Linked DNA regions of Rattus norvegicus. The protein of the gene in region 2 interacts with the protein of the main gene of each other region in a pairwise test. Links are inferred from orthologs where the notes say so. Each region holds a gene or a part of one and is shown on either strand. Other genes may lie near its edges. The genes, in order: Bcl2l12 and Gsk3b.

Region 1 (4,525 bases), on a different chromosome or scaffold from region 2:
CTTCCCAAGCTCAGGACTTGAAATCCCACCAATCGTCAATCTGGAAATCCCTGCCCTGAGAAGCTCCACCCTCTAAGAAGTCCTATATAAGCCCTGCCCTCTGTCTAATTCCCTGCTGTCTGATCCCAGGAGCAGAGGGCAGTCATCCATGGATTTGTCCCTCCATACTCTGAACCCTCCAAAAAGTCTCTTTCATGAGATTTTCTGCCTGGTGTGACTCTCTAATCAGAAGGCGCCAAGAAGAAAAGAAGCAATGAAGCAAAGAAGTGGAGCGGGGCTGAGGCTCCTGAGCACCTCGGCTCAGCTGGGGATGGATACCCTCCCTTGACCAAAACACCTCTGCCGAGGAGGCTTCCTCCCAGAGCTGTGTGGTTCCTGGGCCCCTATGTCTCAGGATGCCCTAACATTGGGACACTGTCCCGCCTCAGAGCTGCATGATTCTTGGGCTCCCGGTCTCAGGTCTCTCTTGCACTGGGATACCTTCATCCTTCAGAGCTGTGTGGTTTCTGGGCTTTGGAGTCCCAGGATACCTCCCATCCAGGCAGAAACACTTACCCCCTAGAAAGAAGTGTAACAAAGAACTGAAATGGCTATGGCCGGCACTGAAGCTGAGCAGTGTTGACTTTATAATGGGTACTGTCTGGATTCTTCAGGACCAAGGCTGCTAGCCTCCAAATTTCACAAGTGATCTGAAGAAATCTCTTACCAGGCTCTGAACCATAGCAGGGACGGAGGGGAAGGAAGCAGGGCCTAGAGGACTCAGGGGGAGGAGCTTCTCGCCCCAGGGGACAAGGGAGGCATCTTCGGAGTCGGCTCAGGAAATCTGTTGTCTCTTCTTGGGCAGGGCTCCTAGGGGCAAGAACCTCAGAGTTATCCCAGAGGGTTCTGAGCAAACAATCCCTTCGTCCTCTCGTGGAAGATTCTTGAAGCTTGGGACAGACATATGGGGTTAGGTATGAAGGGAGTAGACCACTAGACTCAGGAAGATCTTCTGATCAAAGGCTGGCCCTGGGGGAGTGGAATAGTATCTCACCTGGGTGGAGTTGGGACAGGGGACCCAGCAGTTTCACCGCGCCTAAGGAAGGCAGTCAGAACCTTCAGTGTGTCCTCTTGGAGACCCAACTCTTCAGAGCCGGCCATGGAGGTACCTGAAGCAGAAGACAGAGAATGTACCCAAATGGAGTGATAACTCAAACTTCATTCAATCACTGAATGAAGAGGACACCTTACTCCAAGGAAAAGGTGGCTTAAGGGCCAGTGGGGCAGTTGATTCCGTTGAGGAGAAAGGGCCTGAATTATTGAATCTAAGAAAGGACGTAGGGGTTGGGGATTTAGCTCAGTGGTAGAGCGCTTGCCTAGCAAGCGCAAGGCCCTGGGTTCGGTCCCCAGCTCCGAAAAAAAAGAAAAAAAAAAAGAAAGAAAGAAAGAAAGGACGTAACTGAGTGCTTGGACTCTTACATGCAGGAGCAGGAAGGGAGCCCTGAGTGCTGAAGGAGTCTCGAAGACCCTAGAGAATAGGGAACTACTAATCCTAGTACGCTTTGCGGCAAACGCTAGCCGGGTTTCCCCTCTTTTTCACCGAGCAGCCTGCTGGGAGATGTAGTTCCAATGACCTCTGGCGGGCACCAGGAGACCTCCGTGCTTGGAAGTCAGAGAGACAGGACTGGCTGTGACCTCTCCTGCAACCTAGCTCCCTCCCTGGTACCCCGCTCACCTGGATCGGGGTTCTGCCTCAGTCGTACTGGCGCACACACGCTTTCACTCAATTTCTACAAACTTTACTTCCGAAGTTCAACTTTCCCGCGCCTGCGCACTGGGCCGACACGGTAACCGCCCCAACGTCGAGGGGGCGGAGCGCTGTGTTGCATCATTTGCATATGGCGTTCCCAGCATGCCTGTAGGCGGAAGGCCAAAAAAGGGCATTGAGGGAGTTAGGCCGGTTCAGTCGGAGTGTGCTCCTAGGTTTTCTGACTTTTCTTAAAGTAAATGATGAGAAATTTTTTTTTTATCTCAAAATACCATTAGAAAGGAAAGTCCCAACGCTCGGAAGCTTAGTTGACAAAGAAGGGGGTTGCGTGGCTGCGAGTCTCAACTACTGTTTGGGAGCCCCAAAACCAGTGCTGACACCCGCGCCCCACGAGCGCGCAATTCCTCCCCTGGTAGGTAACGCGGAAGAACCGGGAGGGTGGCGGCCTCAGGGCACAGGAGCTCGGCTACCGAAAACCAGAATGGTTACGCGTTGTAGACGGAAGCCTGCAGTCTCAGCATCCAGACTGGAGGCAGTAAAGATTGCTGCAAGTTCGAGGCCAGTGAGCTCCAGGCCAGGCTGAACCACAGAATGAGCTCCAAACCAGCATGGGTTAAGCGAGTTGAAGACCAGCCTGAGCTACTGAATAAGTTTGAGGGTAGCTTGGGTTACAGAGTGCATTCGAGGCCAGCCTGGGCCACACAGTGAGTTGAAGACCAATCATGGCTACATAGCAAGTTCGAGGACAGCCTATGCTCCATACTAAGACCCTGTCTCAAAACATCCATAAAAACAATGTAGAAAAGACAAAGCAGAAGAAGCGACAGCAGCTGGGAGAAGACTCTGGAAATGAGTAAGGGTTTTCTGCAAGGGTGAGGTGGGTGTGAGAACAGTCATGATTCTTTAAAGACAGGGAAAGAGGACTCCACCCTGGAAATGGGGTACTTGCTTTGAGTAATAGGGGTTTACATTTAGAAAAGGGAAAGAACCTATGGAAAACTGTGGGGTAGGATAGGCGGTCCCGTTGGAATTGGAAAGGTGGGAAGGAGTTTCCCGTTTGTACACAGGAAAACAGGGTGAAGGAAGGCCTGTGCTGTATCGGGTCGGAGAGGTTTGAGTGCATTTGCCCCTTGACATACAGGCTCAGGAACTGCACTGTATGCGCAGGCTGGATCATGGGAACCCCGAAACCGCTGATTTTGCCTTGGCTGGTGTCTCAGCTGGACCTGGGACAGCTGAAAGGTGTGGCCTGGCTGGACGAGAGCCGTACAAAGTTCAGGATCCCATGGAAGCATGGCTTACGACAGGACGCACAGATGGCTGACTTTGGCATCTTCCAGGTGCTGGGGGGGAGGGGGCGGGGGGGGGCGTTGAGACTTCAGAGGCATTTATGGGCGTGACTAGACAGGGCTGGGTCTTGCTAATTAGGTGGGATAGACTTGGAGGGACAGCCCGGAATTGATTGGCAGATTCCAGGAATAGAATTCTGAAAGCCAGGTTGTGTCTCTAAAAAACTGTTCTGGAGCAATGGTTCTCAATCTGTGGGACGCAACCCCTTTGGGGGTTGAACGGGCCTTTCATTGGAAAACAGATATTCACATTAAGATTTATAACAGCTGGGGTTGGGATTTAGCTCAGTGGTAGAGCGCTTGCCTAGCAGGAGCAAGGCCCTAGCAAGGCCCTGGGTTCGGTCCCCAGCTCCGGAAAAAAAAAAAAAAAAAAAAGATTTATAACAGCAAAATTACAGTTTTGAAGTAGCAATGAAAAAAATTTGGGGCTGGGGACTCACTACATCATGAGGATCTGTATTCGGATAGTTGAGAACAGCTCTTTTATTAGAGGATGGGAAATCTCGGGGGGGGGGTGGGCTCTTGATTTTAGATCCCTTAAATCTTAAGAATTGGAACAGCCCTCAGGATGGGGTTATTAGCTACCAGATCAGCATGGTAGTAACAGAATGTGGGGTGAGGTACCAAGTAGGTCCTAGAATACTGGCTTAAAAAACAAAAGGCTTGGGTTGGAGAGATGGCTCAGCGGTTGGGAGCACTGACTGCTCTTCCAGAGGTCCTGAGTTCAGATCCCAGCAACCACATGGTGTCTCACAACCATCTGTAATGAGATCTGATGCCCTTTTCTGGCACATCTGAGGACAGCTACGTGTACTCGTCTATAATAAATAAACCTAAAAAAAAAAAACAAACCAAAATCAAAAGGCTTGAAGGTGGATGTGTGGCATACGTTTGTAATCCCAGCACTCTGGAAGTGGCAGCTAGAGGGTCGAAACTTGGAGCCTACCTTTGTTATAATGTGTGAGACCCTGTCTCATATTCAAAAATATTTTTCTAAAGTGTGGAAAATATAGATAAGGATGAGGTCGGGACAGAAGTCCTAGGGGCTCTATGAATGTGAGAACTTAGGTCAGGAACCAGAAATGTATGGAATATGGTGGGAGGTGTCTAAGTAGTCTTCCCTACTGTCCTGGAATCACTGATGTATCAGGCCTGGGCGGAAGCCAGTGGTGCCTACACCCCAGGGAAGGATAAGCCAGACCTGTCAACCTGGAAGAGGAATTTCCGGTCAGCCCTGAACCGGAAAGAAGTGTTGCGATTAGCTGAGGACCGGAGCAAGGACCCTTTTGACCCTCATAAAGTGTATGAGTTTGTGACTCCAGGTGTGTGTAACAAGGCTGGCTTGGGGGTCACAGGAACCGTGGGGTCTGGAAGATCTCTGCCACTTACTCTGCTCACTTCCACTCTGGACAGGAGGAGCAAGGGACTT
Region 2 (3,809 bases):
CCGTGGCGGCACTTGCTGATAATTCCAGTCACTCAGTAGATGTGGGAGGTCATTAGTTTGAGGCTGGCCTAAGCCAGGTAGTGAGACCCTGTGCGAAAGGAAAGCCTCTGTCAAGTCAGTACTGTATGCATGGTAGCTTTTGTTTTAAAAACCCTTTTGTGACTAGTGTGCAAACACACATAACAAACATGGCTTATTCTGAGTTGATATGTAATACCTCATACACGATTGTCTGGGACGGGATGTTTGAGGATTATCGTGTACTTGGGAAACTTACATTCCCAATGACTGCTCTTTAGTATAAACTCCTTGAGCTTATGGAATACATATATCTGCTCCATCTTTATTACTAATAAATCTCTTAAGTTATACATTTGCATATATTCCTTTAACTTCACACTCAACCTCAATACAGGAGTGCAGTAAAATACAGAGAGGCAATATTTTTCTCTATTAATATTTACTATTAATATTTCCTCTATTATTTCCCCATTTTTGCAGATTCTAACAAGTATGATTTTTTTTTAAACCGCCGATTTCTTGGTTATATACTGTTGCTAGTGTAAACTCCTCATGCTTTCTCTTTGTGTAGCATTTAGCTATAAAGCCTCCCAACATGCAGCCAAGCCTATACCCCACAGGACAGATCACCATATCCCTTCTTCATTCTCTATCTGTCGCCTCCGGGGGTAGCCCTACTCTCTGTGCTGAGACTTCTGTCCTTATAACTTGGGTGCTTTTTCATCCTTGTTAGAAGTTCTTCTTTTTCAGTTTAGCACCACAGATGATACATTGACTCCTGCTGTCTATAGTCCCTCCTCTTTATATAGACGTCTATACCAAACCGTAGATTAGATTGTGGGTTTAACATCAGTGCAGGTGAAGGGAGGTATTTGGAAAAACCGAGCCAACCTGCTGTCAGTAGGTTCATGCTTAGTCTTGTTCTGCAGTTTCTTTCAAGCCATTCCACTTAACAAACCCTATCCCAGGGTCTCAGCACTGCAGGCTGCGGCTCAGGTGAAAATACACACTAAGGCGTTTTTTTATTTGATGGTTGAATGGTGGGCTGCTGCTTGTTTCACCTATGAAAAGGCACCCAAATCACATGGGGTTTGTTACTGGGGAGAGTAACTGCCGAGTCCTGCAAGAGCCACCTAGTGCAAGTTCCTCTGCTCACCACCATGTCAGAGCATTGTTCGCGCCCGCGCCCAGCGGATTCTACGGGTGTAAAGTAGCTGTGCCTGGATACATTTGAAAGAGGGCTTTCACAGGTGTGAAATAGCTCATTCTTTAGCAACTCTGAGGTAGGATTTTGGAGACACTTAAGGTGAAAACTTAACAAAACTGCCTTCTTAATAATTTTTAATTAGGTGTAACAGGTCTGGCAGTAGCTGAAATGGGGTGTGAAAAAAACCCATTTTATAGAGTCTAACTGGGGTGTCTAAGGGCCATTAGGTAAAGGGAAAAGTTAGTTTCGTTGGTGATGAGGGAAAAGGATACAGGCTGTCAAAGCTCTCAGTTGGATGACTGAGTTGTTGTGCGTTTCTCTTCTAAGCATCTGCTTTACCCATTAAAAATGTGCCTCGTGGGGCTGGGGATTTGGCTCAGTGGTAGAGCGCTTACCTAGGAAGCGCAAGGCCCTGGGTTCGGTCCCCAGCTCCGAAAAAAAGAACCAAAAAAAAAAAAAATGTGCCTCGTGTGTTTGGTTTCTGAGACAGGGTCTCTGTGGCCCTGGCTGTCGCAGCAGCAGCTGCCTCTGCCTCTGTAGAGCGCTGAGACTGAAGGTGTGGGCCACTGTGTCCTGCTTGCTGGTCATTCGTTCGGGAGCTGGATTTAAACTCCGCATCCTAGAGCTGCTTTTTCAAGGGGCCATTCCAAGTCCCCAAGGCGCACTTCTGAAGATAGAAACGTCTGTTATCGAGGGCACTAACACTGAATATCTTGACTTTTTTGACAGTCTGAAAACCTTAGTGTTGTTAACATAGCGAACACTGTTTTATCTGGGCCTAAGAAAAAGATTAAAATTTGAAACAGATAATGAAGGAAAGAACAAATCAAGTTTAGAGCCATCATTGAGTAGAAGTAAACTGAAAGGGAGGAAACCTAGACCCCCAAGACTGAATGACCATTTTCACATGTCTGTGTCCTGCACTGTTACCTCAGATTTTCCACCTGTTTTTGGCATTTATTTATTTTTTTCTATTTGTTCATTCATTTGATTTTATCGCATGTATTTCTTTTCTGTATCTCATGCTACTGTCAGAACAGCTCCTAGAGCAGCCTGCTTATATGAGATGGAGTTACCCAGAGAGACATTTCAAGAGACACTGTGACTCACTTTAACATTTAAAATATGTACTGTAAACTACTTTAGGAGGAAAGTTGTAATAATATGTTCAACGTAGCACTGCAGCGATGGAGCAGATCGGGCCTGAGTCACTTAAATCAAATGCCTTTTACAGTTTGTTTAGCAGTAGGTGTTTAAATCGACTGCGGTGTGGAAGCATGGATTGGCTGTGTAAGGCCGAGCTGGTCATCCCGGGTCTGAAGACCAAGTTTAACAGAGTAGCCAGGTCCCCCCCACACTCCCCCTTTTAAAAGCATATAGGTGGGGAATACTGATACATTCACTTCTATGATTTGCTAACAGTCTTTTGTTGCAGAAGGTTGCTCTTTAATTTCCTGCCCTTCATCTTTATATTTTATTTAGTTACTTATTATTTTGAGGCAGTGTCTCACTGTATACCATTGGCTGACCTGGAACTCTCACTACAGAGTGGCCTCCATCTCGCAGAGGTCCGCCTGTCTCTGCCTCCCGAGTGCTGGGAGGGAAGGTCGCACCACCTTGCCCGTCAGCCATTTTATATTTCACAAGTTGAATGTAGGAAATGGGGAAACCAGAAGAAATTGAACATGTGTGTCCTTTTGTAATTTTTTAAATCTCTTTGTTCCTTAGCTAAGGCTTGACAAATGCTCACTTTAAAAATTCCTCTTTAAAGTATCAATTTGCTGAACTTGTGTATTTCTCTTGTTGGAAACATTTCAAGTGTGTTGCTTACAAGGTTTAGACGATTAAAGATTGTTTTTTATTTTTATTTTTCATCAGTGCAAAGCAGCTGGTCCGAGGAGAGCCCAATGTTTCATATATCTGTTCTCGGTACTACAGGGCACCAGAGCTGATCTTTGGAGCCACCGATTACACGTCTAGTATAGGTAAGTGCTGGCTCTGGGTGCGGTGGGTGTGACTGTTAACTGTCCTGACCCTTCTCCAACAAGGCAGGGCACGACAGAGCAGGGCTGCAGCAGTACACTTTTGCAGAAATGAGTAGAATTAATTTTTTTTACATTTTAGAATTTATGCTTTTCTACTATTAGAATTATAAAAATATTATTTTGTATTGTAGTTGCTTAATGCATTTGTTTGGCTCTTAAGTTTCAAACAAATGTTGATAAGCTTTTAAAAACATTACTGAGGCAGAGATGGATGGCAAAAAGACGTGTGTGGAGCTCAGTCCCAGCCGCGCTGGAGAAACTCAGCTGCTGAGTTAACTAATGGGGTCTGCACTGGTTTTCTAGTTCTGAAATGTTTACTTCTGAGCCTAAACTACTTAGAAATGTGTTAATAAATAATGTTACTTTTAAAATGTTAATATTGTAATCGGTAGGGCAATGATATTCCTGAATCCCTACAATGATGCATCGCTTAATTTTTGAGCAACTTAATTCATTAGCTTTTCAGCTAAGCCCACTGGTTGTTCAGATCTCGCTGGAGATGTCTATTGATAGAAGGGTTAGAGATGGTTGAGGTC

The links.
Region 1: the proteins of Gsk3b (region 2) and Bcl2l12 interact in a two-hybrid assay, tested with the Homo sapiens proteins (2 studies listed by BioGRID and IntAct). The link is inferred for Rattus norvegicus from reciprocal best matches to the Homo sapiens genes GSK3B and BCL2L12.

The regions. Positions count from the first base shown.
Region 1 is NC_086019.1:104,614,551-104,619,075, forward strand, and holds the start of Bcl2l12 (bcl-2-like protein 12), read right to left. Parts: upstream 2,889-4,525; 5' UTR 2,836-2,888; intron 2,601-2,835; coding exon of another isoform or gene 2,500-2,600; exon of another isoform or gene 2,462-2,499; intron 2,160-2,461; exon of another isoform or gene 2,058-2,159; intron 1,896-2,057; 5' UTR 1,715-1,895; intron 1,602-1,714; exon of another isoform or gene 1,459-1,601; intron 1,149-1,458; 5' UTR 1,141-1,148; coding exon 1,034-1,140; intron 850-1,033; coding exon 707-849; intron 1-706. Other genes in the region: Irf3 (interferon regulatory factor 3), read left to right, coding at 2,500-2,600, 2,889-3,087, 4,247-4,418, 4,510-4,525.
Region 2 is NC_086029.1:76,055,693-76,059,501, reverse strand, and holds part of Gsk3b (glycogen synthase kinase-3 beta), read left to right. Parts: intron 1-3,106; coding exon 3,107-3,213; intron 3,214-3,809. UniProt on the Homo sapiens protein: Constitutively active protein kinase that acts as a negative regulator in the hormonal control of glucose homeostasis, Wnt signaling and regulation of transcription factors and microtubules, by phosphorylating and inactivating glycogen synthase (GYS1 or GYS2), EIF2B, CTNNB1/beta-catenin, APC, AXIN1, DPYSL2/CRMP2, JUN, NFATC1/NFATC, MAPT/TAU and MACF1.